Linked DNA regions of Xenopus tropicalis. The protein of the gene in region 1 interacts with the protein of each later gene in a pairwise test. Links are inferred from orthologs where the notes say so. Each region holds a gene or a part of one and is shown on either strand. Other genes may lie near its edges.

Region 1 (4,413 bases):
AAACAAACCCCCTTATTCCAGCATTTTGCAAATTTACCCAAACACATTGGTAGGAGAAATCAAGACAATTTGAATTACTCATGGAATGTTGTAGCCACTAGTGATGACAGTATTTTGGATTTCAAGTTTAAATACTTTCATTTCATACATGACAATTGATTTCACTATCTCATCTTTTACAGTTTCCTCTTCAGTAAAAAAATAAATGTTGTTTTAATGCCACAAAGTATAATCTGAGTGCTTGGTTCAAAGAAAATATCAACTAAAGTGGGCCAGTACAAACAATTTTAAAATTAATCAGAAATAAATAAATTACTAAATTCTGTACACAAGAATCCCCAATATTATGTATAAAAATGTTATTACAAACACTATCTTTTGCTTCCTAGAAAATCACACTGATGGTTTATGAAGGTAGATGAGAAATGTACTGGCATAAATAGTAGCAAGAGCCTTTTTTTTTGCTTATTTAGAGAGAGATTAGTTCTACTGCTCATTTAACAGCTTACCACTGGAGAAATGGCACACTAAAAACACATAGTGCATTAATGCAGCTGTGTTTTCATATTTGGGAAGCACCATAGAGACTCTACTGGTATACTCTGTTAGAGTTCTAACCTGTTGCATTCTTTAGGAGCTTGGTAATCCTGAGCTTTTCAGCCGAATCATGATGCCCCTCTGTTAAATACTTCTCACCGTTCCCTTGCCATTTACTTTTGAGAAGCAGTGCCGCTTATGCTTACCTTAAGTGCATAGACAAGTAATCGACCTGCTCTAGCCACCACTGGGATCAGGCTACCTGCTCTTAATTACATCTCTTTAATGCTCAAGCCTGTGCTTCTTGTCTTGATCTCCCTTCTGTCCTAGTGACCCTCCAGACCTTTTGCACCCCCCTTTTCTTCTCATGCTCTCTGGGAGGGCAAGTCATTAGAAGATCAAGGGCTAAGGTACATCATTTTTCAGCATAATGAAATGCCACTTGTCTTTTCACCTCTACTTGAGGTTACAAGGTAAAGATGGGTCATAAGAGAAATAAGAGAATAGCACTGAAATTATATTCCCTACGGCCTGACTAAAAGAACCCTCTAGATTCTTTTGTGTATTCCGACTGATGTTTCTCTATAAGCAAACAAAGCTATTATTATACCTGCTTTTGATGTTACCAAGATTGCTATTTGTAATTTAGAAGCAATAGTTTGGTAACAAACAATATACATAAATGACGGAGTTTGAAATAATACATTACAAATAAACTTGTTGATAAGCTTTATGATAGATGCAACTGAAACAAGTGCATTGTGCTTTACAACCATGACCAACAGAGATGTGAGTGATTAGACACTGTGCTTGAGTGACAGACTGCACAGTCAGCATTTCTTACCCCTCAACCCTTTACTATCTGAGTCCGTTAATCATACCCACTTACTCGGCTGCAGCATGAGGTAATGGGCCTTGTGTCCAGCCTTGCTCTCTGAGATGTCGGATGGGAAAACATACAAATACTGACACCTAACAACCGAATAGGCACAGAGCACACGCCAACACATTCAACAATAATAGTGATCTTATCCTGCGTGGGAGGATTTTTTCAATTTTTTTTAACTAGCATACCAAAAACATTAGAAAATGATGTATGTGTAAAATGTAGAAGCCAAACTGCTAATGTCAAATATCAGCGATATGAGAACGGAAACAAATGATCATAAAAGTTTTAGATTGTACTTGTAACGTATACCCTAAAGGCATCTCAATAAATATGATTCCAATTGTCCGGCAGCCTTTTTTTTGCTGGTAAAATAACCCCTTCTGTAAGTTAAAGAAGGGGTTAAATGTCAGCAACTGGTCATATCTATCTATGACTTGGCAAAACAATGAGAATGGCAGGGATGGCAGCAAGAAGTAGTGTCTTCCTATACAGAATGACAGCAGCATATTAATGACTTGCTAATGACCTCCCTCTGGAGCTATGTGCTATTATCAGCTGAGCACAACAACACAACAAAACTTTTGGAACTTCCTATTTTGCAAAGGAGGGGGGGGGGGGGTTGGAAACACAAGTGATAGAAAGTTTCTGACTGATACATCTTCTCCATGATAAATAGCTCCCAACTGCTCACACCCCCCTCACGCAGAGCATAACTGCCCCCTTGTCACGGCAGGACAGCAGAGACCCCTCATTGTATAGCAGATAACAATAGGCTGCAGATGCTGCTTGTACGAGCCAGTTCAAGGTCTTGTGTCAAATTCTAGCGCAGGGTCCCCATTGCTCCGGGCAGCACTTAACCCGTTAGAAGCCGCGGTGGAAGCGCAAAGAGAAGCTCCTAATATAGCCATGCCCAGTAGCACAGCGACTTGAGCACCTGGCAGGGGCACCGCCACGACCTGTTATGTGACAGAATCACAGTTGAACCATACCGGGAACACGTGACTCAGCCTTCACCCAAAATCTCTTCTATACTGAGTAGAAGAATGTTGCTTTAATTCGTTCAAAGCTGGCACCAACAAATATTATCTCCCAATAATAACTAATATTAACTTACCCAAATGAATGTAGAAGATGAGGAATAAGTGTGCAGGTTTGTATGTCTCTGTGAGTGACAGGCACTTTGGTTCCCAGGGCTCCTCTCACTGGAGGCTGTGGTGCAGCAGGTAAAGTGAGCACAGTGCTAACTTATTTGGCTGCAGCATGTACAGGGCAAACACTTGGAGAAGCGAACTCTTCCCAGGCTGCTTAGAGACTCTCCGTTTCTTTCTAGAGTGGGGGAGTGACTTCCCCCTGCATCACACATACACAAGCAGTTTTTAAAGACACAGTGCCATGTACTACAAAGGAACCACGTTGGACTGAGAGAAGATTACAATACTTTCTATTTAGAGAAGCATTACATCACCCTTTGGTGACGTCACGTGGGATTCCTGAACTTCTAAATCATAGCAGTCGGCTGAGGGAGGGGGGTGTGGCGGAGGGGCGGGGCCGGCGGGAGAGAGAGAGAGAGAGTTACGTCCCGGGGAAGCTGCTGGAGATTGCTGTGGTGCCTGACAGAGCGGGGCTGAGAGAAGTGCCTGGGGCTGCTCGCAAACACTGGCCTGACAGGGGCTGCATCACTGTCTCAGGGTAATTGCCGAAATGCTTATGTGTTTGTGGGAGATGCGTCGTGCCGGGCACTCTGCAGAGCAATGGGAAAGTTTTCTGAACGATCCGGGGGAAGAGCTCAGAGCAGAAAGGACCAACCCAAAGCCGAGCAGAAATACGGATTCAGATTGCGCTTTTAACGTCGGAAAAACACTCGCGAAAGGGCCGCCAAGGGTTAAATAAAAGCCAAAATTATTATTAGGCGGTTGGACCCCTCATGTGGAGAGGGTCGTATCTTAATCCAGCAGCTCCATAAATCCGCAAGTTAGCACACTGAGGGTTAATATTCACTTTCTTAAGCCTAACAGGGCAGAATGAAACTGACATAAGTTCTTAATTTGTCCATCGCACAGGCAATAGCTAGTTATTTTTATTTTATTTAGTAGAAACAATTTTTATGGTAATTCCCAATTACTTGGCGTTACCATAGCTAGAGCATTACTGTCCATTTAGACTGGTATGTTTGTCCTTTAAAATAATAGCCTTCAGTGACTGGTATGCAGGTAGGGATATCAGTGGTTACTGCAAAGTAAACTTAGATACGGCTAGCAACCCCCAGATAGCAACCCCCAGATAGAAACCCCCAGATAGCAACCCCCAGATAGCAACCCCCAGACCTGTGACCTCTGCCTGCACTGTAATGTCAGATCTCAAATCAGTGGCCCCTGCTATCAGCTCTGATTCAGGGGCTGCTGCCTCACCTCCCATGGAACGGAAATTAAGCTTTTAAAAATGTAAAGTTAACAGAGGTGGGTTTTTGCTGCCCCTGGTAAATGGCTGCTCGCTACCACAATATTCTCACCTTGCCTCATTGCAGGAGTGACATTTCATGCAATGTGCCCCTGTATAGGACTGGCAGTCCCCAGACCTTTGGCTCCATCTAAATACACCTATATGAGTAGCAAACCTAGACCAGTGTCATCTGCCATGGACAAGGGCATTGGGCCAACCCCCCCCCCCCCCCCAGTGGCCCATGGATATGGCTAGTATTCTCCAGGCATGTGGCCCCCCACTGCATACACTGATATGAGTAGCATACACTAGATAGGGGCCCTAGCTATGTGCAATATAATGTGACAGAAATCAGACCTATTGCCCCTGCCATGTGCATCTGCTTATGGGTAGGAGACCCAGACCTGTGGCTCCTAATTCATGCACTAAAATGTAACGAAAGCACTGATAGAAGTAGTACACTCCAGCCAAGTGGCTCCTCTTATGTGCAAGAGCATGTAATAAAAACTCCGGCCTGTGCCCCCCATTGTATGCACTGAAACTGTAAC
Region 2 (4,147 bases), on another chromosome or scaffold:
CATACACGGCCACTGTGCGTCAATCTAAAGGTGGTCATACATGGGCCAATAAAAGCTGCTGATGGTCTGAGACAGGCTACTGGACTAGTATCTGACCAGATGTCAATTGGGTAAGTTTAAAAATCCCATCGAATGAGGTACACATTAGTGCATTGATGTGGTCCTCGTCCCAACGGCCTGTATCCCATCAACATAATCATATTGTTTGACTGGAGGGTCAAATGATAGGATCAATGAGATATCAGGGAAATATCTGCTTCTGAGCATATCAGGCAGTGTCGGACTGGCCCACCAGGAAAACTCTTGGTGGGCCCAGGTGTAAGTGGGCCCTCCTGCTCATGACCATTTGGCCTGCTTCATGGTCATTCCCTATTTCTGAATGGGAACACAGAGGAGAAATAGATGGAAGAATAGATGCTAGCATGTAAATAAAAGAGACTAGGAGAATAAAGAGAGCAAAAGAGGAAAAATTGTTAGGAAAGTGGGCCCGGGGTCTAAGGTTTTCTGGTGGGCCCCTGGGGTCCCAGTATGACACTGATATCAGTGAAAGATTCGCTTCTTTTGGGACCTCACGGAGGAGGGGATAGTTCAACCTATGACCAGTTTATGGTATTTCCAAACCTACTATACTTGTGGGCTCTTTAGTACCATCCTGCTCTGCTGTCCACATTGTCACTCCAATTCAACAATAGAACACTTGGCAGTATGGCAGCAATCCAAGAGGCAATTAAGCAACTGTAGAGTCCAGGCTGCCTGGTTTCAATGTATCTGTGTATTTTCTCCATTGAGAAAAAAAAACATATAAGTTATAAATGTGTTTAACCAACTGAATAATCGCCCAGGGATCCTGTCAGGACAATTATATAACGAAAAGAAAATAAAACGCTTCTCCTCAAAGGCGGCTCGTTGGGACTTCTACATAAGGGGTTAAACAATGGGTCCAGAAATAGAAGTATATGCAAAGGCTCTTGCAAAGTTGTCTGTGTGTGAGCGTAAAGCTAAGGCGCAGCGAGGAAGGCGCTGGTGTGTGTGCGCCTGTATATGTACACATATATGTATGAACTGTAAAGGAGGAGCACCCTCCCTCTCCCTTCCACCCCCAGTAGAAGGAGGAGAGACTGGGAGGAGGAGAGCAGGGGAAACGCAGGGAGGGGGGTCCGTTCTGGATGCGCACTCGCACGGATGCTTGGCGCAGGATTGGCCTGCCTTTAAATCGCTTCTCCGCAGTTTATCGCTGTTTCGAATGCTCCGGCGGGGCGCACTTCCCATATAACCTTCCGATTGCCTCCCGGATCCCTGTGCCCTCACCATGCGTCTCCTTCGGGAGCCTCCCTGCGCCCTGGCCGACGGCAGCCAGCCCCGAATCGGAGCCCGGTGAAAGGGGACAATGAGCGGCGAACAGGAGCCAGAGTGAGTGCCACCTGTGTCCCGTACTGGTCTCTATTGCACCGGGATGGGTAGATTAGGCCTTTGGGATGCGCAGGGAGCGCTTTGCGCCGGGCTAGTCCCTGTGTGGATCCCATGCCCCAGCGCTGCACACTTGTGCGAGTGGGAATGCAGAGAGCGTGTGTGAGCGCATACAGGCAGAATGTGTGTTCTACTGTGCACTCCCCGACTCTAATCATGGGCACTGAGTGTGCAAGGGGATGGGGGACATAGTGGCCAAGTGCAATCAATGCTTTTCTCTATGTTGCCTCTCATGGGTTGTGGGCAAGGTATTTCTGGCTGGCTTGTCTACCTGTGTGTATGTGCCTGGAGCTGCAATTCTGCATGGGATAAGCTAGAGCTGTGTGAAAAAGTCTCCATGACTAAAGCACAGTATGTACTAATACTTGCATTATAATGTCAGTGCATCATACTGTATCTAAGCAATGCTTGGCAGGTGTGGCTTACACTATGGTATAATGGCCCATCTATCTATCTATCTATCTATGTATCTATCTATCTATCTATCTATCTATCTATCATCTATCTATCTATCTATCTATCTATCAAAAGTCTAGCATGTCTATCTGTATATTATGGGTGTATATAATATAACTATGCAAAGACACATCTCATAATTTATGCAGGCATTCTGTAATGTGAGTATATTTTTATTACATTACATTAACATTTATTTATAAAGCGCCAACATATTCCGCAGCGCTGTACAATAAGTGGGTTACATACATTGGACATACAGAGTAACATATAAAGCAATCAATAACCGATACAAGAGGTGAAGAGGGCCCTGCCCAAAAGAGCTTACAATCTACAAGGAGAAAGGGTTGAGACACAAGGTGTGGGAATGGGCATGACCAGAGTTGTGAGAGTATATATCAGATATTTTGCAGATGTCAAACCTGCGGCCCTCCAGCAGTTGCTTATATTCTCCTTTAAGTATCCTCTGAGAGCCGCAGGTTGGGCATAACTGCTTTGTGTGCTCACACAAACACGTATGTATGGGAGCGTGTGTTTGTATACATATATTCATATATATGTATATAAGTGTGTATATTAAATATATGTGTATGTTTATATATATAGCTATTGCATCATTGTATTGTTTATGTATATATCATGTTTGTGTTTGTATATGGTTTGCAGTTGATTTTGTGCAGGTGTACAACATTTACATATTTGTATATGATTTTCATGTGGAAATTGTTTATTTGAGAAGGTCTTCATCAGTGACCGTAGAGTGAATTTCCCTATTTTAGAAAAGATGGCTATTTTTTACTGTATCCATGTGCGTGCAATTTTTTCTTTTTTTGCATGATTTAACGAGGCGGCCTTATTATGCTTCAACAATGTACCACATTCATATATGTGTGCCTTGTGCTGTCAGTTATTATATACATTTGTATATGTGTCGTTGTATGGCTATTTTTTTGTCCATGAATGGTTATATATAATGCAGAAAGATGAGCACACCCTCAAAATAAATCAAATGCCTGGGTGCCAGTAATACATGGTTATTTTAGAAAGTACAGAAACACCAAAGTGAATGCATTGGTTCCAATGCGTTTGATTGCACGTTTAATTTCTGTTTTATTTCACTTTAAATATTGTGATTCATAGGATATATACGCCAAAAGTATTTTAGTACAATTGTGATTCTGACAGCACAACTTTTGTGTAACCCTGTTCAGTTCTGCTGATTTATCAGCCTGCTGATAAGGTGAATTGAACTATGCACCTTGGGCTTATTAGTGTTCACATTTGCTACAATAATTTCTACATTCGAGCTTCAACTCAGTATTATTCTATTAATATGTGATATTTCTACAAACTGTTCTGGGATATATTTGCATTATTTTATTGTACCAGGGCAGGTTGCATAGTTGCCATTTACTCTCATGTGGGAAATGCACCGTTCTGTTGCCATCCTGGAGAGTACAGTTGATTGAAAGGTGTTGGACAAATTAGCCTTTGCGTAGGGCCACTTAGGTAAAGCAGGGCTATTTGACCTTTTTCCTTTTTAGCTGTTGCTCAGCTCCCAGCATTATTAGAGTGTAAGCTTTTGTGAGCAGGCCGCTCTAATCCTACTGTTTCATTCTGTAGCCTCTACAAACCATACCCTTTTACAATTTGTAACCCTTGTTTGATATATTTTGTAAAGCAATGTGTAACTTGCCAGAGCTATATAAATAAATGATGAGGAGGACTGGTAAATGCTGGAAATTGTAGGTCAATAACAGCAGTAAGGCATGTTTCTTGGACAGGTGAGCTGCTTTTCTGCTGGCAGAGGCACTGCACCACCAAAGACATCTTTGTAGCATGTTCATTGTAAGCTAACGTTTATTATTATATGTAAATGTGCTTATCGTTATATGTCATATGTACGTACATTATTCTGCAATATGAGCAATTGCTGTGCAAATTGGTGTGTGCGATTATTAACACCAGAAATATTATAATTTATGTAAAAATTACTAGGCATATTTCATAGCTGGATATAATTGGGGCACAATGCAAATAATTGGATGCAAATGCAACCTGTATAAATGGTGAAAGGTCCCTGTTTACAAGAGCTTAGGCTTATGGCACACAGACATTTTGATTACCACTCTTCTCCCAGAAAAAAGGAAGCAGCAGTGAAACTACTGGCATTGCTACTGGTCACTTCTCATTTAATACAGTGCACTGCAAGAAGCTTTTGACC

Evidence for each region.
Region 2: the proteins of creb5 (region 1) and spred1 interact in binary tests that used the Homo sapiens proteins (3 or more experiments, as listed by UniProt). The link is inferred for Xenopus tropicalis from reciprocal best matches to the Homo sapiens genes CREB5 and SPRED1.

What each region holds. Positions count from the first base shown.
Region 1 is NC_030682.2:42,850,857-42,855,269, reverse strand, and holds the start of creb5 (cyclic AMP-responsive element-binding protein 5), read right to left. Parts: upstream 2,871-4,413; 5' UTR 2,541-2,870; intron 1-2,540. UniProt on the Homo sapiens protein: Binds to the cAMP response element and activates transcription.
Region 2 is NC_030684.2:110,838,714-110,842,860, reverse strand, and holds the start of spred1 (sprouty-related, EVH1 domain-containing protein 1), read left to right. Parts: upstream 1-1,252; 5' UTR 1,253-1,387; coding exon 1,388-1,410; intron 1,411-4,147. UniProt on the Homo sapiens protein: Tyrosine kinase substrate that inhibits growth-factor-mediated activation of MAP kinase. Negatively regulates hematopoiesis of bone marrow.